Linked DNA regions of Danio rerio. The protein of the gene in region 1 interacts with the protein of each later gene in a biochemical or structural test. Links are inferred from orthologs where the notes say so. Each region holds a gene or a part of one and is shown on either strand. Other genes may lie near its edges. The genes, in order: rbbp8, siah2l and klhl15.

The links.
Region 2: the proteins of rbbp8 (region 1) and siah2l form a complex in vitro, tested with the Homo sapiens proteins (2 studies listed by BioGRID). The link is inferred for Danio rerio from reciprocal best matches to the Homo sapiens genes RBBP8 and SIAH2.
Region 3: the proteins of rbbp8 (region 1) and klhl15 form a complex in vitro, tested with the Homo sapiens proteins (2 studies listed by BioGRID, with this or other methods). The link is inferred for Danio rerio from reciprocal best matches to the Homo sapiens genes RBBP8 and KLHL15.

What each region holds. Positions count from the first base shown.
Region 1 is NC_133199.1:39,943,435-39,951,466, reverse strand, and holds the start of rbbp8 (DNA endonuclease RBBP8), read right to left. Parts: upstream 5,224-8,032; 5' UTR 5,162-5,223; exon of another isoform or gene 5,019-5,161; 5' UTR 4,987-5,018; coding exon 4,878-4,986; intron 3,735-4,877; coding exon 3,692-3,734; intron 3,470-3,691; coding exon 3,374-3,469; intron 3,286-3,373; coding exon 3,173-3,285; intron 1,133-3,172; coding exon 1,060-1,132; intron 969-1,059; coding exon 814-968; intron 1-813. UniProt on the Homo sapiens protein: Endonuclease that cooperates with the MRE11-RAD50-NBN (MRN) complex in DNA-end resection, the first step of double-strand break (DSB) repair through the homologous recombination (HR) pathway.
Region 2 is NC_133196.1:42,017,762-42,025,896, forward strand, and holds the start of siah2l (E3 ubiquitin-protein ligase Siah2), read right to left. Parts: upstream 5,279-8,135; 5' UTR 5,134-5,278; coding exon 4,693-5,133; exon of another isoform or gene 4,691-4,692; intron 1-4,690. UniProt on the Homo sapiens protein: E3 ubiquitin-protein ligase that mediates ubiquitination and subsequent proteasomal degradation of target proteins.
Region 3 is NC_133199.1:20,845,080-20,852,875, forward strand, and holds the start of klhl15 (kelch-like protein 15), read right to left. Parts: upstream 4,309-7,796; 5' UTR 4,006-4,308; intron 493-4,005; 5' UTR 411-492; intron 1-410. UniProt on the Homo sapiens protein: Substrate-specific adapter for CUL3 E3 ubiquitin-protein ligase complex.

The DNA.
Region 1 (8,032 bases):
TTAGTGTGAACAGGGCCTTGGGTTCCTGGGCAACACCATCTCTCAGGATCTGAAGTGGGACATTCACATAGACTCTATCGTGAAGAAAGCCCAGCATAGACTGTACTTCCTTTGTCAGTTGAGGAAGTTAAACCTGGCACAGGAGCTGCTTGTGCAGTTCTATTCAGCTGTCATCCAATCCATCCTCTGCACTTCAATCACCGTCTGGTTCAGCTCAGCTGCCAAAACCGACCTCCGTAGACTACAGTGAATAGTCCGGACTGCTGAACGAATCACTGGCACTACCCTTCAAGAACTGTACTCTTCCAGAGTGAGTAAAAGGGCTCGCAAAATCACTCTGGACGCCTCGCACCCAGCACACTTCCTGTTTGAACAGTTACCGTCTGGTCGGCACTTCAGAGCACCAAGAACAAAAACAGCCAGACACAGGAAAAGTTTCTTTCCTCAGGCCATCTACTGCATGAACAGTTAAATATAACCCAACTGTGCAATAAATATGTGCAATACTTTCTCATACGCACTTGTACACAGCCCCTTATATCAATATACAATGCAATAATTTCTACATTCGCATTTGCACACAGCACCTTATGTTATAACCTGTATATTTATAACAAATCTGTACATACAACTCAACATCCAGATTTCTGGACTAACTGCATCTCCGTTTAATGTTTATCATCTTTTTTTCCTCATATTTATTTTGTGTTGTCACTTTATGTACACTGGAAGCTTCTTGTGTTATTCCTTGTGTGTGTGAAGCACACTTGGCAATAAAACTGATTCTGATTAAACTTCTCTGGAGTGACTAACCGGGGTGTGAGAGTGATAGCGGTGTCTCAGTGTATCGGACGTGGTTCTGCTCTTTCCGGCGTTTCATCTTGCTGGCAACGGGTAAAGACAGCGGCCGGAGAGGAGAGTCTGGGATCATTCCCTCCTCAGCCTCAGAGGACGTGTTCTGTGGAGAACTAAACACACACTCAAAACAGACGGTCATATGATGATGAATGTCACCAGTGCTCAGTATTTCATCATGTTTTCTTCAACTCTGAGACTCACCCAGACCTCCTGAGTCGCTCCAGTTCAAGACTCAGTCTCCTGTTTTCATCTGTCAGAGTTTTCCTCTCAGCCTCTAAACACACACATTGAAGAAGATTTTTGGGTTGATACTGATAGGCTGGATGAGACGAGAGCTGCACTGGTATGGAATTTTTGACCTGATAACTGATAACGTAAATTTGATTTGAAACAGATAGCCAATATATTATTAACAAAAATAGCAGACAAATAATATCTATATCCATAATTGTTATGCATGATTGCAAAAACAAAAATCAAACACTTACAGAGAACAACTGATTTTATTTTAAAACTTTAACTTCAGAACAGTAACATTTACAACAAGGCAAAACCAGCAAAAATAAAGCATAAAAACAGCACAAATAAAAACCTAATTTTGTTATTAGACCAATCGAGATAACATTAAAATCAGGTTTGCTGATATTGATATGGCCACCGATGTATCATCCAACCCTAGTAGATACAGATGAGTTTCAGACAACTTAAAGTAAAAACTATTTATATCCATTTTTTTAACACTCAATTCTTACAAAATTCCATCTAAATTACAAATTCCAAATGCACAATTTCCAAAAGACATTATATATATATATATATATATATATATATATATATATATATATATATATATATTTTTTTTTTTTTTTTTTTTTTTGAATGTAACTATTTTTGGGACAAAATTATTAGCCTCTTTAAGCTATTTTTTTTCGATAGTCTACAGAACAAACCATCGTTATACAATAACTTGCCTAATTACCCTAACCTGCCTAGTTAACCTAATTAACCTAGTTAAGCCTTTAAATGTCACTTTAAGCTGTATAAAAGTGTCTTAAAAAATATCTAGTCAAATAATATTTACTGTCATCATGGCAAAAATAAAATAAATCAGTTATTAGAAATAGGTTTTTTAAAACTATTATGCTTAGAAATGTGCTGAAACAATCTTCCCTCCATTAAACAGAAATAGGGGAAAAAAATAAACAGGGGCGCTAATAATTCAGGGGGGCTAATAATTCTGACTTACATACACATACACATTTCTTATGAATTATTTATGATTTTATTTATAAATTTTGACCTCGACTGTTTATTTTTTCCCCAATTTTTGTTTAACAGAGAGAAGATTTTTTTCAACACATTTCTAAACAGAATAGTTTTAATAACTTATTTCTAATAACAGATTTCTTGTATCTTTGCCATGATGACAGTAAATAATAATTTACTAGATATTTTTCAAGACACTTCTATACAGCTTAGAGTGACATTTAAAGGCTTAACTTGGTTAATTAGGTTAACTAGGCAGGTTAGGGTAATAAAGCAAGTAATTGTATAACGATGGTTTATACAATCAAAAAGAAATACAGCTTAAAGGGGCTAATAAAATTGACCATAAAATGCTTTTTTAAAAATTAAAAACTGCTTTTATTGTAGTCGAAATAAAACAAATAAGACTTTCTCTAGAGGAAAAAATATTATCAGACATACTGTGAAAATTTCCTTATATATATAAAGTTTTGTATGGCTTCTTTAATTTTTCTTGTTAATTATAATTTATTAAAAATTTTCTAATTAACATATATATAGGGGTGTATTAATGCTTGCAGCATCATAATAGCTAGTTATGTTTTTTTTAATAATTTCCACTCTTAAAAATAATTACAACTAGCCAAACAAAAACGAAAAAACATTTATTTTATATGGCCTCCTTCATTTTTTTATTTATTGCAATTTATTTCAGATTTTTTGTAACATTCATTGGAGTCTAGTTCATTTTGAACTATAAATTGCAAATTATGTTGTTCGAATGGTTTCAGTTCTCCCTTTGTATTGACTTATCTCACAATAAACCAATAAATGATATTTGATCAAATATCTTACTGTTTAAGATCTCGCTGAAAGTATTATTTTAAAAGCAAGATGAATATTTTTCAGCGATCAATCTGTTAGAGTGCATTTATCTAAGCTGGACACAGTAAATAAGTTCAAACCTCTGAAACTAAACCATCATCTATTTACATTAAAGACAGCACAGTCCAATAAAATATGCTTTAATAACACCACTGAAAAAGAAATAGTCACCAAAAATACTCACCAAGCTCAGAGATGACAGACAGATTTCTCTGATTATTATCTTCAAGCTCAGTGTTTGTCTTTTTAATCTGCTTCTCTTTCACAGTGCAGCGATCGCATGGTCCAGAACGCAACCTAAAAAAATAACACAGTGACTAAAACTGAGCTCCGAATTCAGGATAAATGCATAAAAAACATGATCAATAGGTTTGCTTGTGAGCACCTGTCCTCCAGCTGTCTGATCTTCTCCTGCTGGATCTTCTGTTGCTCTCGTAAATGTTGATTCTTGCTGTGAAATTCACTCAATTTCTGAGCATCTCTGAGAAAAGAGACACAATATTATTATTATTAATAATAATAATAATACAGTCAAATAGGATATGTGGCATTACAGATTACAGATTAAAAAAGGTTTTTCAAAATAGCTTAAGCATGTTTAATGATCATCACAAATATTTATTCATGCTTTAATGACTCTCAAACTGATTTATATACATTTTTAAATATATTTGCATGTACACTGTATACGACGTGGACTTACAGACAGCGCTCTTTCTTCAGTTTAGCTATTTTTGCTTGTAATTCTGAAAATGAGAAACATGTATGTTGTCAGAGAAAAGAAAAATATTTTAATAAGTTATTTGACAATCTATTTTTATTATAAAAGTTATCAAATCAGAAAAACAGAATCCACAATACAGTTTTTCTCAGTCGATCAACAGTAACTGCATTTCTCAAAACATTTTGTCATTTGTGCACATCATAGCAGCAGTTTCTTATTCCGTCTAACAAATTGCAAATGCTTTCTGACGTGTATCAATTGCTTTTATACAACTCTCTGCTGTTTATAACATTATCATTTGTTTATGTCATGTCAGTTCAAATTAACTGAACTTGTGAATGCTGAATAGTCACTCCATATAAAACTAATAGTCCTCTTTTATTACTTATTACTCTTTTATTCTTTACATACAAAAATGTTAAACTAGCTGTCCAAATCTCTCAAGCAAATTTTATAAAATCTTTTTTTTTTCTGAAAATTTCTTGTAAATTGAATGATTTGATGAATTATTTAAAGACCTCTATGTTGTAGGTTCAGTTCCAATATGTTCTGCAATATTGTTTACAGGTGTGCACAGCTCTACCCAAAGGGAGATTAGGTTTGTTGTAAATTTGTGTGTATTTATTCTTCAGCGCAACGATGTGAATAAATTAAAATTGCAAGATTATGCAGTAAAAATGTAAAACACACATATTCAGTGTCTTGTACTCAGATACCTCAATAAATGCAGAGATGTCTAACTTTACTGTAGTTTTCAAATGGCTGTGCAAATAGTGTATAGTTCTGTCCAAAGCATTTTCAGCAAATGTCACCAAAATCTGACTTTATTGCATTGGATGTAATGTAAAGAGTGAACTGTCATAAAGAAGACAAAGCCATTTGACTATCTTGTTCATAAACAATGTTGTGGTAATTGTGTATATTGTCTTTAAGTGATATTTACAAGTGGTTTCAGACCGAATAGTCAAATACCATGGTAAACAATATAGAGAGATTGTCTATATTGAGAGAATATAAAACCAACTTTACCTCAATTAAGTAGGCTAACAATAATTACCTATATTTCAAAGTAATTGCTTAAATTACATTTTTAGCATACAAGTAATGTAATTAACTAAGTAACTAGTTGTTATGTAATTATTTATACTCCACTCAGGTTATTTACCTTGCAGTGCGGTGTCGTGCAGGTCTCGGACAGCGGTCAGCAGCTCCTGCAGTTTCTCCCTGTGGTCTGAGGATGAAGCAGGACTCAGATCTGCTGGAGTGATGCTCATCTTCACTCTGTTTCACTGTAAATCCTTCACAACTCCAGCATTTACACAAATACATTTAAAAAAAACTCTCCACTTACACCTGACAAATTCCCTCCTGAATGTTTACACAAACGTATATCCGCGTATAAGACTAAAATAATAGGCATTTAAACATGGAAACGCGCGTTCAATATACCTTCAATAATTGGGGTTGTAAATATTCTGATTGCCCGCTTCTTCTTTTTCTTTTTCTTCTTTGGTTGTTAATGGCTGTAGGCAACTGAACTTTGCCGCCACCGACTGGAATGGAGTAATGGAACTGGGCGTGCAGTGGCGTGGGTTCCGGGTGCTCCGGTTTCCCCCACAGTTCACAGTCACACACATATAGGTGAGTTGAATAAACTAAATTGGCCGTGTAAATGTGAGTGTGCATGGGTGTTTCCCTGTGATGGGTTGCAACTGGAAGGACTTCCGCTGTGTTAAACATATGCTGGAATAGTTGGCGGTTCCCCTGATAAATAAAGGGAATAGGCTGAGCTGAAGGAAAATTAATGGATGAATTGTTTTTGTTTGCCAACTATGATTTCTTAGTTTTATTTCAGTTAATCAAAATGCTTTTTGACCAATGTTTTTTGTTTTAGTCTAAGTTTACGTTTTCGTTTGCTAAAATAACCTTGGAGAGTAAGGAAACTGCGTGTGTGTGTGTGTGTGTGTGTTTGTGCGCGTGTTTGTGTGTGTGTGTGTGTGTGAGAGAGAGAGAGAAAGAGAAAGAAAGGAGAGAGAGAGAGAGAGATATTCGGACAAACGTGTATAATGACATGGGTATGACACGGGTATTACAAAGAGACTGTGAATTATGAGGACATTGCTAATGTCAATTTTTTCAATTCAGAATAGGGTTGGGGCAATAGAAAATACAGCTTGTATAGTGTAAACAATAATAGTTACTTGACCAATGGAAAACAATAGAATAATATCAAATGTTCCCACAATTCACAAAAGCTAACCCTGTGTCTGTGTGTAGTGGCAGGAAAGTTTGTGATTTCATTCATTCGCTCATTTTCTTTTTGACTTTCCTTTTAGTCCCTTTATTAATTTGGGGTCACCACAGTGGCATGAACTCCCAACTTATCCAGCATGTGTTTCACGCAGCGGATGCCCTTCCAGCCGCAACCCATCTCTGGAAAACATCCATTCACACTCATACACTACGGACATTTTAGCCTACCCAATTCACCTATACAGCATGTCTTTGGACTGTTGGGGAAACCAGAGTGCCCTGAGATAACCCACGTGAACGCAGGGAGAACATGCAAACTCCACACTGAAACACCAACTGACCCAGCCGAGGCTCGAACCAGCAGCCTTCTTGCTGTGAGGTGACAGCATTACCTACTGCGCCACCGTGTCACGTTTTTGTGAACTCTTTAGAATAAAATATTTTTCTGCTGCAATTCATCATAAAATTTGAGTCACAATGACAGACAAACATACTGTGCATACATTTATCAAGCAAACAATTCTAGTTTCTTGTGTCTTTGTTGATCACAAAATATTAAAGAGTGACTGACTGACTGACTGACTGACCGATCAACTGACCCACCTTCCCTATACTCAACCAATAGTGTTTTCAAAAGCAGCAACTGACCAGCCCAACACCTTCCCTAAACCCAACTTGCAGTGTTTTAAAAAGCAATCCAGAAAAAAAAGCCCTCGTCAAATTTTTACTGCATTTTCAGATTTTTCCACATTCTTTACATGTTTATTTAATTTTTTTGGCTTCTGTTTTTGTCTTCAGGAACCATTCTTTGCTGGATTCAAACTCCATCATCATGGTCAACTCCTCTCTGCATCTCAAGTCCATCGACGAATGCGTCAAGCTACTGGGCAAACTGGTAACAGCAGAAAAGGCTGTATGCGATCAGCTGCTTAGCAAGAACGTTGTCACACCACCCCGTAGCATTTGTTTTAAAGACAAAATGTAGCCATATGTGTATCTGACCGTCGACTGTCATGGTAAAAAACAACTACATTTTGACCAAAAAAGTTTTTGAGCCCATATGACCAAATTACTGACCCAATAACTTTGAAGCATGAATGAAACGTTTTGGGTGAGTACAGGGCCGGCTCATCTATAGAGGCTACCTAGGCAGCCGCGACACCTCCCTCACCACCTGCGTCCTAAGTTATATCCGCGAACAGCCACCCCCTCCTCAACTTGCTACCTTTTCACTTTTGTTTTCACTTTCAGATTGTGGGTAGCGTGATCGTCAGATAATATTCATACATGTAAATCTTGAAATGACTTAACAAAATATCCATATAATATTATACAATAAAATATAACATAATAACATCTAAAACACTCAAATATTTCTATAGTAGAACTACATGACACCGTCGGCATCAATACATTGTGTACCGTGCGTTGACGTAGCCTATCGCTGTTTTTGTTATAAATAAGCACACACATACACACAGACACACACACACATATATACATTGTTTTATATATATATATAGTTTCCCAGAGATGCGTTGCGGCTGGAAGGGCATCCGCTGCATAAAAACGTGCTGGATAAGTTGGCGGTTTATTTCGCTGTGGTCACCCCGGATTAATAAAGTAACTAAGCCGAAAAGAAAATGAATATATATATATATATATATATATATATATATATATATATATATATATATATATATATATATATATATATATATATATATGGGTAATTTCTGGCATTTGGTAATATTTCAGCTTGAACAAACTCATTTTTATAAGTCTGTTGATTATATTTTAAATAGCCTACATAATTAGGCACAATTTAAACTTTCAAAAATTTCCCTCAGGCATTACAGCTTTCATATTATTTTCAGTTTTATTCTTATTTGGACACCTATAATTCTCAACCCCATTACGGACAAAACTGAGTTGTTAATAATAGTATTTTACAAAGCTTTTGCTATCAAACCAAAATTTACCTATTGCTCATATGTCCCTCAAATCACTGTAATGACTAAAACATAATATTTTTGATAAGTTTTAGATTTATATGTGATTTAACTT
Region 2 (8,135 bases), on another chromosome or scaffold:
CACACACACTCATTCACACTCATAGAATACGGACAATTTAGCCAACCCAATTCACCTGTACCGCATGTCTTTGGACTGTGGGGGAAACCGGAGCACCTGGAGGAAGTTCCACACTCCAAACTCCACACAGAAACGCCAACTGACACAGCAAAGGCTCGAACTAGCGACCTTCTTGCTGTGAGGTGACAGCACTATACTGCACCACTGCGTCGCCACATTAATTATTAGTCTATTATTAATTAACATTAATAATAGGCTACCGAGTGACTAATGCTGTTGGTTTGCACTGAATCACAGTTCTGACTTTCAATTTCAAACCTTATGCAAGCTATTTTATTTTCAAGATCTGTGGATGAACTGCTGCTGCTTTCAGTATGGTGATAAACGTCCCATAAAACGGTACTTAAAAGTCCCATTGGAAGCCTATAACACTGAATAAAGCACAGAAACTGTACCTGAGGTGATTTTTTTTTTTTGTCAAAGCAGTATATGCTGTTGTTCTGCCACAATGCCACGGAAAGAAAGCATTTCTAAAATAGAAATTTTGCACATCACTGTTGCAGATTGTTAGGGCAAAAACTCCCTTAAACATGGAGAAGATACCTTTTATCCCATGATGTTATTCACATTGCATGTAGTTATGTTAGACTGTAAAGTGTGCACGAAGAAATTTTTCTGAAACTCAATGTGATAATGGAGCGTTTTCAATCTAAAATGCCGCTATAAATTGAAAACACACTGTTGTAAATGGTACCTTATGCCTAGTTCAGACTGCGTGATTTTAGCCCTGATTTTGGCTCGCCGACAGGTTTTGAGAAATCGCTGACAAATGCCTGAAATCACAGGCAAATCGCTGCTCGTGCACGTGAGTGACAATCACACAGTATGAACGATCAAAGACGCGATCTGAGAGAATCGCCAATGAGTCGCCGATGCCTGCGAGATATTTGGCGTGCTAAATATCTAGAGTTGTCGGTGATTCAAATCATGCCGTGTGAATGGAGTTTTGACTGAAAATAACATCAGCCATCGCCTACAGCCAATGAGAGAGCAGCTTTCACTTGTGCAGGCCAGCGGGAGGCTGGAGAAGAAATTAAAAGCGCTCTTTTTCGGTTTATTTGGACTCACGAAATGGAGGGAAAACTAGTGGAGGTTTGACAGGACTCAGGAGCAACCGTGTCTGTTTGACGTTACATACAGAAAGAAATTAGTTTATTATCAACGTTGAGGAGAAATGGCAAATTCCCTTTAAACCCAGGTGAGCAAACATGTACGTGTTCTACCCCATTAAAGGCTTCTTTCTCATTATGTAGTTAATAACAAAAGATATACTACATGTTTTTGGCTGTGAGACGTAGTTTGGTTGAAGTTGTCCGCGATTCTCCCTATAGTAAAGTCATGCAATGTGAATGTCCATGTTGCCGATCCATCTTGCAGTGTAAACAAAGCAGCGACGAAATGCTAGCCCAGATAGTCATGCAGTGTGAAAACATCTGTGACACGACTAGTTTGAAAATCAAGCAGTCTGAACTCGGCATTAGTGTTTTGTTTTTGTCACTGGTAACCAAAACTGCTCAATTTCTAACAATTCTTTAAAATATGTTCTTTTGAGTTTCAGTCAGTTAACCTTCTAAAGAAGAAATCGTGAGAAATTTCTCATGAGAAATTCATGGGATTTTTCCTGACCACAGTAGGTTCTAGATGATCATGTCCTCAGCGATCAAAAAATAAAATTTTTTTAACCAAAAGATACTAAATGTGCTCAGCATTTACACAGACGGACCAGCATCCAATAAATAAGCAACTTATTTTCATGACCCCTTACTAGGGCTGCACGATATAAACAAAATCTGACATAGTGACATTTTGTTTTTTTGCAATATATATTGCGATATAAACTCCATTATACCAGATAACTTTATTAGCTCTATTTGGAAATCAGTCATTCATTTAGTTAAGATTATTATTTGCATAAAGTTTAATAAACAAAATTCATTCATTCATTCATTCATCCAATTATTTTATTTTCGGCTTAATCCATTTATTAATCTGGGGTCGGCACTCGCAACAGTGGAATGAACCGCCGACTTATCCAGCATATGTTTTACACAGAGGATGCCCTTTCAGCTGCAACCCATCACTTGGAAACATCCATACACACCCATACACTACGGACAATTTAGCCTACCCAATTAACCTATACCACATGTCTTTGGACTTGTGGGGGAAACCGGAGCACATGGAGGAAAAAATTTTTTCAATCATTTATTAATATAACAGATCAAAAGATAAAAGTGAAATAAACAGTGCATTTCATGGGAGTTTTTTAATAGTATTCAGCTAAAGAAAAGGAATAATGAAAAATAAAACAGGACTGTATAGTATTGATCATATTAATAATTTATGAACTATGAATTTAACCTTCATTAAGTCACAAACAATAAACATTTCTTGACTCTGAATGCTTTAAACTTTCCTGAAATCCTTACAATCATAGGCAATTGATACATTTTTACTCTATTAGGGTTACACTATAATATCAACTCAACATTGCAGATCATACAATGTAACTCTTGCTTATGCGCACATTATCGATGATATCGATGCTAAAACGATATTGTGCAGCCCTACCCCTAACTGTCAGAACAAGAGCATTGGTATAAACACTAATTGTCAAAGGTGAATACAAAATAATGTTAAGAGGTAATGGTGTCAGAAACCTGTTTAGTTTAGCACATGGCACAATTCCAGAATTACACAATTCACATACATCCACAAACACACATACATTTTAATGCTGCTATAGCTGACCATTGAAGAACAGACAAAGCCCTTTTAAAAACAAGCAGCAGATGCAGCTTTACTTTCACCACAAACGTTGAAGGCTACTTTCCTTCGCTGACGGCTGGTATCACTTTAGAAACTGCTCTACATCAAGTACCAGTCGCCACGTCCTGATTACAGCCACTGTAAGGAGGAAACATTAGCCCAGGGAACAAGAGTAGTGATCAACTTTCACAGGCCAGCGATAACAGAGGATACAACTTTAATGCACTGATGATGCAATAAAAGGGTTTCAGGTCAATCACAATAAAAAGAAAACTTTCAAAACTGTGGAGAGCTAGAACTAATCTAGGGTGAATTCAGATTCAACAAAAAGTTATTCTGGTAGTGGGTATACTAAACAAGATTTCTAACATCTGAACCAAATCAATGGTTTCAGTAACTGGGCTGCTAAAATGTGAGATTTCGAAAATCAAGTCATGTTTGTTTCTTGTCAGATTTCTAGATTCAGAATTAGATGTGTAATTGTGAATGAATGAGGTTAATTCAAGGGATAGTGCAACCCAAAAAAACAAAAAATTCTGCTATCATTTAATGACCCTTGACTTCCAAACCTGTTTTTTGTTCTTCTGTTGATAACTTTTGGAAACTAGTAACCATTGAAATTCATAGAAGGAAAATGTGATATTATGGAAGTCAATGATTTACAACAGTCTTCAAAATATCTTCTTTTGTGTTCAACAGAACAACAAAACTCAAACTGAGTAAATGATGGCAGAATTTTCATTTTCGGGTGAACTGTCCGTGTCAGTTTCATACTAAACAACTGCAGAGATTTGGTGAAAATTCAGTAAAAAAGCCACTTGTGATCCAGCGTAATTTGCAATTTAGCCAATAGACTGAATAAATCACAAAAGAAAAGTATTACTTGAAATTGAGATGTTAGTGTGACAAAGAAAAATTATTTCATATGTGATTGCATTAATGCACAAACGAGTTTGAGTTTATGCAATTAAATCAAGCTTTCTGTATTTTTATTTTAAGCATGATTATTATTACACATCAACTGTCACACAACATGTGGTAAGTTCAGCATTCTATTATAAAATAATTAAGGAAGTAACAACAAACTCGAAAACAAAAATAATTTGATTCACAAAATTAAGAAAATGGATAAAAAGATTTAAAAGGTTTAAATATGTGTGATAAATTGCATAGCCATTTCTAACAAATAGTATTTACTAATACGACAAGTCAACTGAGAGAAAATGTAGTTGCTGTCCTTAATTCAACTTTGACAGTCAATTTAGCTTGCATTATATTAAATGGACTGATATCTACAATATACAGCACTTCAAGTAGATCAAAAGTTTTTTATAGTATAATTAATAACATAAAAATAAAATAAAAAAACAAAAGTATCATAAAATTGGACTAGTTTTCATGATTAAGCCATGTCAGTCTCAATTTTTAGACATGTGCCCTCAACATCAACCATCTAAATTACAAAATGTTTGTTCTCAAACAGGTCTCCCCGATACACAACGCCTCCTTAGCCAGCCATTGGTTGGATACAGTCAAAGCCCCGCCTCCTAACTGATGCCATTGGTTGAAGCAATATTGAAGCCACTAAATTACTAAAGTCTCTCAATTTCGGTTATTTCATCCAACTAAAAACTCAATTTAACTACCTAAGTGACCGACTATAATATTCAACCAATGAAAAAACACACTTCAGCAGCATAAACAAAAACACTGATCTGATATGATAGCCAATGCACCTGTGGCATCTCGAGTTTTAGTTACACTTCCTAAACTCATGCGTGCCATCATGCAGTGCTGACTGAAACAATACTGCAGGCGACTTTGCATTGGTTATTATGACAGTCGTGAACGCGCAATTCTTACCTTACACGGAAACGGCAGAGTAGATGCAACTTTTTCCATTGCCAAGTTCCGTATGCTCGGCGTGAGAGGGCCGCGACAGGTCGGGCAGCAGCTGAGCTTTTGCCGACACTGGTTACACACCAGATGCCCAGCCTGGCACTGCAGGATCGGCGGCAGCACATAGTCGAAACACACCGGGCACTCAAACAGCGCTGTCAGCTCGGGGGACTGTCCCGGAAGAGCCGCGACTGGAAGCGCTACAGCTGCTGCGGGAACCGTACCAGAACCCGCGACGGAGCCGGACACCCCCGCGGCGGCTGCAGCTGCTGCGGCGGCCGCGGCAGCAGCGGCGGCGGCGGCAGCAGAGGCAGTTGTTCCTCCAGAACCTCCATGCTTACTTCCTCCTGCTTTTCCAGCTCCGAGTCCTCCGGCCGCTCCACCCGCAGAGGACGGACGGCTCATGGCGAGGAGTGTCGGTCGATGTTTGATGGTGTAAAACCCCGAGTAGCTGAAGCCCGAGAGCCTCACCGTCCACTCCCGACTGAACACGGACTCGGTTCCGAGTAGCCTCCTCCAATCCCCCGCGGATACAACATGGCCGCCATAGTTTGAGAGCGAGTAATGAGACTATTGGGTGAAGGAAGTTTGATTGACACTCTCCTCAGCCAATCAGAGAGTAGCTCCTGCGGTTTATGTAAGAGTTGCCGGAATATGTAGTAATTGCGTGAGTGGCTGTAGTGAAGTAAACAGCAAACATTTGCGCGGTGGTTCTTTCACACGATGTTTCACTGCTTTATGTAATCAGTAGACTGTCGTGTTGGAAAGAAACAATGAGAAAGAATCAATAACAGAACCAGTGAACATTCTGGAAACATTTTCGTTGTTAATGAAAGAAGTATCTTCTCATCACAGAGGCTGCAAGTCAAAGTCAACTTTATTGTCAATTCAAGCACATGTGCAGGACATACATTCGTTCATTCGCTTAGTCCCACAGGGGAATGAACCGCCAGCTTATCCATCAGCTTATCCAGCATATGTTTTATGCAGCAAATGCCTTTCCAGCTGCAACCCATCACTGGAAACATCCATTCACACACATACACCACGGACAAGTCACCTATTCCACATGTCTTTGGACTTGTGGGGGAAACGGAGCACCCGCAGGAAACCCACACAAACTCCACATGGAAACGCCAACTGACCCAGCCGGGGCTCGAACCACCGACCATCTTGCGGTGCTACACACTACGCCACTATGCTGCCCTTACAGGACATACATTGAAAATTGTGTTACTCTCAGACCCTAGGTGACTAACAGATATTATTGATACAAAAAGTTACATTTTAAAATAGAAATTACAATAAATACAATTAATGTTACACATATAAAATAATGTAAAGATATACGTGAAAATTAAGATTTGTAAACAATTCAATTAAGGGCACATGATAAGGAGTGCAAACCAGGAGTTGTGCAGATGCAAAACAGTATATAGTGCAAAAATATGATATATGATAAAGTGACACTGTCTTAATATTAAGGAGGTAGCATGAGGTAACTACAGAGGTAGTATGAGGTGTTATTCGTTTAGAAATGCAAAAAAACAGTAAATATTATTTAATTTTAAAGAGGTATTTTAGTGAATTAAAGATTTTTAAGCACTGTTACTCCACTTATTTTTATAAAGCTTATTTACAATTAATGTTCATGCTCAGTCAATAATAATAGTTTTCATTATGCTAAATGTTGAACGCATCCTTTCTGCTTTATGTTTTTGTAGAAACCAAGTTTCATTTTACTTTCCAGGATTCTTTGAAGAACAGAAATTATAAATAATTGATCAATTAAACACAATGGAATGTTTTACTGTCACTTCATAATCACGTCATGTAATTTTCATCCGCTTTTCCAGGGCCGGGTTGCAGGGGCAGCAGTCTTTAGGAGAGAACTCCAGACTTCCCTCTACCCAGACACTACCTCCAGCTTCTCCGGGGGGGGATCCAGAGGCGTTCTCAGGCCAGACGATAGACATAGTCCCTTCAGCGTGTCCTGGGTCTTCCCGAAGGCCTTCTCCCGGTTTGACATGCCTGGAACATCTCCCTAGGTAGGCGTCCTGGAGGCATCTGAAACAGATGCCCGAGCCACCTCAGCTGACTTCTCTTGATGTGTAGGAGCAACAGCTCTACTCCGAGCTCCTCACAGGTGACCCTGCAAAGGAAACTGATTTCGGCCGCTTGTATCCAAGATATTGTCCTTTCGGTCATGATCCCAAGCTCATGAACATAGGTGTAGGAACTTAAATTGACCGGTAAATTGAGAGTTTTGCCTTTCGGCTCAGCCCCTTAGACCGGTACATCGACCGTATTACTGCAGCACCAATCTGCCTGTCAATCTTATGCTCCATTCTTCCCTCACATGTGAACAAAAACCCAAGATACTTGAACTCTTCCACCTGGGGTAAGGACTTTCCTCTAATGGAATGTCTGATGAAAAAATTAGAATGAAAAATAAATGTCTGAGCATCATCCTCATTAAGAAGATTTCTGAACATCACTACTTGTTGTGCTACTTAAGTAATAAAGCTCAAAATTCATCTTTGAATCACAGTAATAAATTTATTTCTAAAATACATTCAGATAATATATCACAATGTGACAATATTAATGTTTTTGTTATTTCCCAAAAGCAATAATGATCTTAACGTTAGACCTTTGACTGGTTTACATGTAGAAAGCGGCCTCTTTTTTTTTTTTTTTTTTTTTTACTGTGCAATGCATTTAAAATAACCTAATCAATGTTTTTGAAATTCTTCTCATTCACTCTTAATCTGGAACCATTTAATTTTTGTTTTTATTTTAAATTACAGTTTGCATGTAAATACACAATGAATACAATATTACAGCTAGCATCAGTGAATCAGAGTCAAGGACGCCGGGTGAGTGTATTAACTGCTTATTAAATAATTATATCATAGCAGTTTCTACAGTATTCGAAGAGTAAAACATCACAAACCTTGTCCCGTCTAACCAGCTCCCTCTGCTGGCATTTCATTTTATTTTATTTTTCTGTATTTACTAACGTCACCGGTTTATTTATCAAAGTTAGGGCCAGACAGAATCTGAAGATTTATGCGGAATGATTTTAGGAGTATCATAACTAAAAACTTAATGTATAAAATAAAAATAAATTTGTAACTTTATTGTTTACAATGCAAATCCAATTAGATTCACTTTTTTGGTAAACAAAACAAGTCTCTTTAAAGTAGTCATAATATCTCCACTAAAAGACAGAACATATTACTTTACAAACTGTATTGTAAATAAATCTTATGAACATTTTAATATTGTTATATTACAATAATAAACTGAATAAAATATGAATTTACACAGTTACGCAAGTAAATACAAAGACTTATGTATGATGGGCTAAAAATCTGTAGATTTCTGCGTGTGCAGATTCAGTG
Region 3 (7,796 bases), about 19 Mb from region 1:
ATTTTAGTTGTTCAAAGTTGATGTCTGTAAATAATCATAGAAAGTAGACTGTGTTTCCTTCAATCATTTTGCAATCAAGTAATGCACGCTTCATTCAGAAATATCTGTCACTTGTATTATGTGAGCATATTTACTGTACAAAACACGTCAGTAAACTATGAGGGCGAAATAAATAAATAATCACTCAATAATTGTAACAGAGTTAAAATGTTTAATTGATCGAGATTTAAATTTATAGGCCAAATCGCCCAGCCCTTGTTTGAACTAAACTTTTTTTAAGCCCTAAATGAACTACCCTTGAGTATATCAGGGCACTTGATATGTATGACACTGAGTAGCACTTCATGTTCCTCATCCTTACCAAGTTATGCAGTTAAGAAAACAATAGTGTGATGAGTTTGTGGCCTTACCTTTTCGAGGCCTCCTGGCCAATCATGGGCTTTACTGCGCTGAAGGGACGTTCACATTTCCTCTGCTTGTACTTGCCCTGCTCTAAAACAAAGACCACATCCAGATGCTTGTAAACAGACAGGATAAATAATGATCATTTATATTTTTTGATTATCGTATTTTTCTTTTACCAATATTTTTATTCTTTAAAACCCTTTAAAAAATATTTTTTAAAGAGCAAAAATATGTTACAATACACATACAAGACACTAAGCAGCATTTGATTCATGTTCATATCTACTTGAAGATATCATGTGTAATTCAATGTGTTATTTACAGTCTTAATGAAACACAATTTGTTTTATTGGGGTAATATTAATATTGGGGTATATTTGATGTATTTTTATAGGGGTACTTTTAAACAACACCATGTTAATCTTAAGGAAACATTTTTGAAAAGAAAGCATTTTTGCTTTTGTGTGTTATTTTATATAGTTTTTTTTTTGTGTGTTATTTTATTATAGTTTGCACTTTTGCTAAATTAGGAAAAAAATTTGTAAAATTAAACGGATACTGAAGAAATCATAATTTACATGTGTAATACAAGAGAAATTTCACTTTAAGGAAATATGTACAATGTAGGCAATAAACTGCTTAAAGGTTATAGCAAATACATTTATAATGCTATAATATATACATATTTCAGATAAAAAGCATTTCTTCTAAACATTCCTTCATTCATTTTCTTTTCAGCTAAGTCCCTTTATTAATATGGGGTCGCCACAGCTGAATGAACCGCCAACTTATCCAGCACATGTTTTACTCAGCCGATACACTTCCAGCTGCAACCCATCACTGGTAAACACCCAAACAAACTCAATCACACACATACACTACGGCCAATTTTAGCTTACCCAATTTTCCTATACCACATGTCTTCTGGACATGCAAACTCCACACAGAAATGCCAACTGACCCAGCTGAGGCTCGAACCAGCGACCTTCTTGCTGTGAGGCAATTTTGCTACCCATTGTGCCACAGCGTCAACCTTCTTCTAAACATTCTATTAATCAAAGAATCTTAAAATAAATTGTGATCAAATGTAAATAGTTCAAACATGATCCAGCACATATTATTTCAAAATAGATCATGATCATGAATCTGTAGGTAACGGAGATGCAGGTAAACCTCATTTCTCTGACCTTAAAAGGTGCGCTAGCAACAAATGCTAGAGGCCATGGCCTTTACGCCACATTCACATGGGGCGTCAGCGTTAAAGCTTCCCATTCACTTTGAATGGATGATGTCAGGCGTTGCCGAACTGCATTGTGGATCCGTCGGTGCCGCTTCAGAGGCGTCAAAGAGCTTAGAATGACCAAGAGGCGACACTCAATAGAACGTTCCATTGCAACAGCAGCACCCAGCAACAGCCCCGGATTCCGCCATGTTGGAGTTAAAGTGATCGGCCGTCCATTGGATCTCATTACTGTCGCGATGGCAAGCAGCTGCTTTGTTTTTTATTTATTTATTTAAAAAGCGCATTAAAGCTGAGATACAACCTGAAAGACGACAATACAACACTTACTATCACAATCATCAGCACTTTTAATAGTTTATTTAACAGACTTATAATATGCTGTTGTTCTATTGGAGTTTTCATACCAAAATGGCAGCCGCCCTCTAGTGGCTGTTTCCCAAATTACACTAGAGTGTCGCCTCTTGGTCATTCTAAGCTCTTTGGTGGCGTTGCTCGCTGCAGAAGTTAGGACTTGCTCAACTTTTCAAGCACCGACGGAAGTGTCAGCCAATCAGATCACGGTATGCAAATACACCAGCTCAGACAGTGGCCTATTACTGACTATTTTCATTGGCTGACGTTGCTATGACGATCACGTCAGCCCTAACTTTAGACACGTCCTCTGTCAAGCGTTGACACTTGAGCCCCGTGTGAGGCGTTAGACTCCTTGTTAAGGCAACCAACTCCCATACAAAGAATCGCCGGTTCGATCCCAGCTCAGCATGGGTTGGGTGCAGTAGAACTGCAGTAGGATACAAGGGGGCTCGTTTGGGATGGGAATGAGATTTAGGTGGATGAGAATGATTATTCAAAGATCATGTGGCACTTAGGACTTGCATAAAGGCTACTGTATACCAAAAATTAGGTTTGCCATTAAAATAATAGATCACATTTATGTGTAGTACAGAAACAAATATGAACTGATTTACGTTTATATTAATATTACTATAATAAAGGTCATTTTCCTACATGTTAATATATCCTAATTTTATAGTTGTTTTTTTACATGACACTTCTTTTTAAATAAATAATAAAAAATTGAACAGATCCCTATATTTTAGATGGAACTTAATAAAAAAAAAACTCAAATGTCACTCATACAGTTAAAGTCAGAATTATTATCCACATTTTTATTTTTGTTTCTTTTTTAAATATTTCCTAAATTATGTTTAAGAGAGCACAGGAATTTTTCACAGTGAATAATATTTATAATAGCAGTGAATAACAGTCTGATAAAATTTTGTCTTCTGGAGAAAGTCTTATTTGTTTTATTTCAGCTAGAATAAAAGCAGTTTTTAATTTTTTTAAAACCATTTTAAGATCAAAATTATTCGCCCATTTAAGCTATTTTTATTTTCAATACTCTACAGAACAAACCATTGTTGTATTTTAACTTGCCTAATTACCCCACCTTGCCCAATTAACCTAGTTAAGCCTTTAAATGTCACTTTAAGTTGTATAAAAGTGCCTTAAAAAATATCTAGTAAAATATCATCATGACAAAGATAAAACAATTCGGTTATTAGAAATGAGTCATTAAAACTATTATATTCAGAAATTAGTTGAAAGAATCTTCTCTCCGTTAAAGAAAAATTGGGGGGCGAAATAAATGGGTCTAATAATTCAGGGGGGGCTAATAATTCTGACTTCAATTGTATGTCTCAAATGCTAACTGCTCCATAACTACCCAGATGCCTCTTAATTTTATATAAATTTTTTTTTACAATAAATCTTCTTGTTTTGACATACAATGTGATAAACATCTCTGTAACAATAACTAACAAGACAATTAGAGAAAAGTGTGAACACTACTAAAGGCAAATACTACTCTTAAACCTTATATTACACCTTACATGAATGAAAACCTTTGAATTTGAATGACCTCATGCTCAAAATCTCAGCAAACCACCATCAGACACAAAAACAACACTTGACTGATTCACAGAGAAGCTTGTATTATTATCATCTAATGTATTATGTCATGTTCAGAATTCAGTATCTGAACAAAACTGAAAATTGACTGTCAATATTGTGTCACCTACTAATCTGTCCGCCTAGACTGCATTCGTGATCACTAAATCTCAAAAAAACGCTTCACTTACATGTAATGACCAAACAAGCTGTCTACCTAGGGAGCTCACTAGATAGGTCAATATCATAGACACAGTCAATAATCACCGGTGACATGTCCTAGCAAATGTCAACGCTCTACAAACATAAGAATTCCGGTGTTTTCGGCAACGCCAGGTTAAAAGGAGTGTGTTTTAAAGCATGACAATGTTGCTGTGTGAAATGAGACGGTTTGTAGCAGGCTTTACCTCGGCGATGCGACTCCACGCAACCCCGCTTCGACCAGGGAGCCCGAGGTCCTTCGGACATGGAGTGCTGATGTCAGACAAAGAGCAGAGAAATTAAAGATTACATCTCATTATCGACGGAGCTGTGCTGCCCATTGGCGACTTTAGGTGACAATAAATCAATGTTATTTGTACGGAATCGCTAAATGTTGTTTGTCTATAGGCACCACAGCGATCGTAGACGCCATATTATTGTCTGCACTGACGTCATTTCCCGAACATTTGTCGGTCGGACGGAAATGTTGTTGGAGTTTCTCTGTGTCCACTGCAATGACTGTCTATGGAGTCTAAATGAACATGTTTTAGTCCGTCACAGAGCTGGAAATCGTTATGAGCACAAAATTTATGACTATATTATGATTTTAGATAATGCATTAGGCAGTTGAAAGATTTGAGAGGGGAAATCTCCTGTTTAATTAATATTTTATTATGTTATATTATTATATTATATTATATTATATTATATTATAGCTATATTATTCATTCATTTTCTTTTTTGACTTAGTCCCTTTATTAATCAGGCGTCGCCACAGCGGAATGAACCACCAACTTATCCAGCATATGTTTTTACGCTGCAGATACCCTTCCAGCTGCAACCCATCACTGGGAAACAATCACACGCTCATTCAGACACACTCATACACAATTTAGCTTACCCAATTCACCTGTACTTCATGTCTTTGGACTGTGGGGGAAACCAAAGTACCCAGAGAAAACCCACGCGAATGCAGGGAGAACATGCAAACTCCACACAGAAACGCCAACTAAACCAGCCGAGGCTCGAAACAGCGACCTTCTTGCTGTGAGGCGGCAGCACTACCTACCTACTACCTATTATTTCAAATGAAGACCCAGTTAATTAATTTGCTGCCATTGTGTGATAAAATATTATTTTATTATCAGCCTTTTATAGAGTTACTTTGTCCCCGAAAAAGTTCCTCACCACTCACTCCCCCTCGAATGTTTATTAGTTTTACTTTTGTAATGTTTGTAATACTTGTGTTTTGTTTTAACACAAAAATACATTTGAACCCTTTAACTGCCCCACCAAAAAAAAAAAAAAGATTACATTTCCAACTCCTAATGTTGCTAGTTAACACACTCAATGCTTTTTTTTCAGCACATCCAATAACTTCTAAAATATCAGCCTCTACCAAATGATTGATATGTCTGTGCATGGTAAAATTAATGGAATTAACACGTATACTATGAAAAGTGTAGGACCAATTTATTTTTAAAAAATATTCAAAATAAAAACATTTTGAATACTAAATCATTTTTATTTGTTGAAGTATGGCATAAAATATTTTACATTTTCATTTAACATGCTTTCTTGTGTGTTTGTTTGTTTGTTTGTTTTTTTACAGTAAAATTTTAATCAAGTGCAGTAGTGCAACAGGGTTACGTTTGTTTGATTTTTATTTATTTTTTTGTAAACCATCAATGCTGTGTGTAAACTAATATTTAAAACAGTCATTCTTTAAATTACTTTAACAGTCTTTATTTAAAACAGTATTAACATGGTCAACCGTTTAGTAGAGCGGCAGTCATAGAGGTAAAGAACATTGGAAACCGGTAGCCAACTTAATGAAAAATAATAGAAGTCAAAGGCTACCATTTTTTCAAAATTGTTATTTTTACTTGTTTTATTTTAAGAATATATATTTTTTATTTGTTTACTTTTACAGAATTTGTATACATTCAGACACGCTAGGAGATTATAATGGTTCTTCGCAATGTAGTGCAGGCTTTGAACTAGTTTCCCTCTCACATTATTGGTACTTTATTGATCCCTGAAGGGAAGTTATTCAGCAGATTGAAAAAAAATAGGTCAACACTGAATGGGGCATATAGGACAGTGATATACACATACAGTAAACGTATATAAGAGAAAAAATTAGAGGGCTCTTCTGAGTACATTTATGTCAATGTTGATTAATTGTAAATTTTTTTGTGAAATAAAAATAAATAAATAAAAACACAGTCCTCTGTACAAGAGACATGATGCACTCCCCACATTCATGTTTCTACAATGTTTAGTATGTGTAGTTGACAGCATTTATGTGATATTTTTATTTACACTGACTTTATACTTTTTCTTTAAATCAAAACTGATATAGAAAGTTATTTTGGGTGACATGTCACCAATAAGCTTTTAAAGCAATCACTCAAAATGGTTACTTTTTAAATATATTAATACACAAAAGATTTGCCTTCCCAGTGCTCATTTTTATTTTTAGATACTGTCTGTTTTTAAACTAAACTAATTTCCAGATTTTCCAAATCTTCCACCAGAATATTATTCATTCATTAATTTTTTTTTCAGATTGGTCCCTTAGTCCCATTAATCCAGGGTCGCCACAGTGGAATGAACCACTAACTTATCCGGCACATGTTTTTACGAAGCAGAACGTTATCTGGACTGGACCAAATTCTCAAAGTCTTTAGGTCTACTTTATAGGCTGATCTCCTCCATTTCTAATACCTCTTTCATTATTAAACAACAGTGGAAGTCAGACAATAAAATATTTCGTCCCCTGTTCACTGAAAAAAAAAACAATTCATTTGATTTATTGAAAAAAAAAAATTTGAGGGGCTGAATTTAAACAAACAAATTAAATTTAGTAATTCATTCATTCATTTTCTTGTCAGCTTAGTCCCTTTATTATTCCGGGGAATGAACAGCCAATTTATCCACCAAGTTTTTACGCAGCAGATGGCCTTCCAGCCACTACCCATCTCTGGGAAACATCCACACACACGTTCACACACACACACACACACACTCATACACTACTGACAATTTAGCCTACCCAATTCACCTGTACCGCATGTCTTTGGACTGTGGGGGAAACCGGAGCACCCAGAGGAAACCCACGCAAAGGCAGAGAGAACATGCAAACTCCACACAGAAACGGCCACTGAGCAGAAGTTCGAACCAGCGACCTTCTTGCTGTGAGGCGACAGCACTACCTACTGCACCAATGCCTCGCCTAAATTTGGTAATGTTCAAATTAATTTGTTTGTTCAAATGCTGCCCATATAAACTGTTTGCAACCATACATTAAGAACCATTTGCAATCATTAGCTTAAAAAAAAGAGCAAATCCAATTAAAAATTTTTAAGTGTTCATGCTTCCTCTATTTGTGCACAACATAACACAAATAAAATGAGGTTAATTAAACTTACTGGACAAAATAGGCAAAAATTTGTGAGTGCTCTTGACCCTAAATAAGTATGTTTTGCCCATTCATAACTAATTGTTAGAGATTACAATAAGAAGGCCTATATTACATAAGCAATTGCTTCACTGAATGATGATATTCACTCATGTTTTGACATTTAATTTTCACTCAAATTATTTATTCACCCATGTTTTGACATTGAATTTTCATTAAAATTATTTGAAACACTAGTGGCAAAATTGCAAGCAATATGTTTCTTTGCACAAATTTCGTACATTTATTTTGATGTGGAAACCAAAAATCAGATGCATTATCATTTATTCCTTCACTGTCCTTCGTCTTAGTAGCTTATTTACTTACAACGGAAAATCTCCACAACGGAATGAACCGCCTCCGCCTGCATTACTTTTGAATAAAATCCAGTTTAGACACACATAAAAACCAAATGCCATTTTTTTCTGAAAGATGTAGTTTGCAGCATTTGTAGACTGTACAGTACATTTCTTAACATATAAATCATTAAACAAACAGCCGTTTCGCAAATAACAACCACTGATTGTGAGTTTC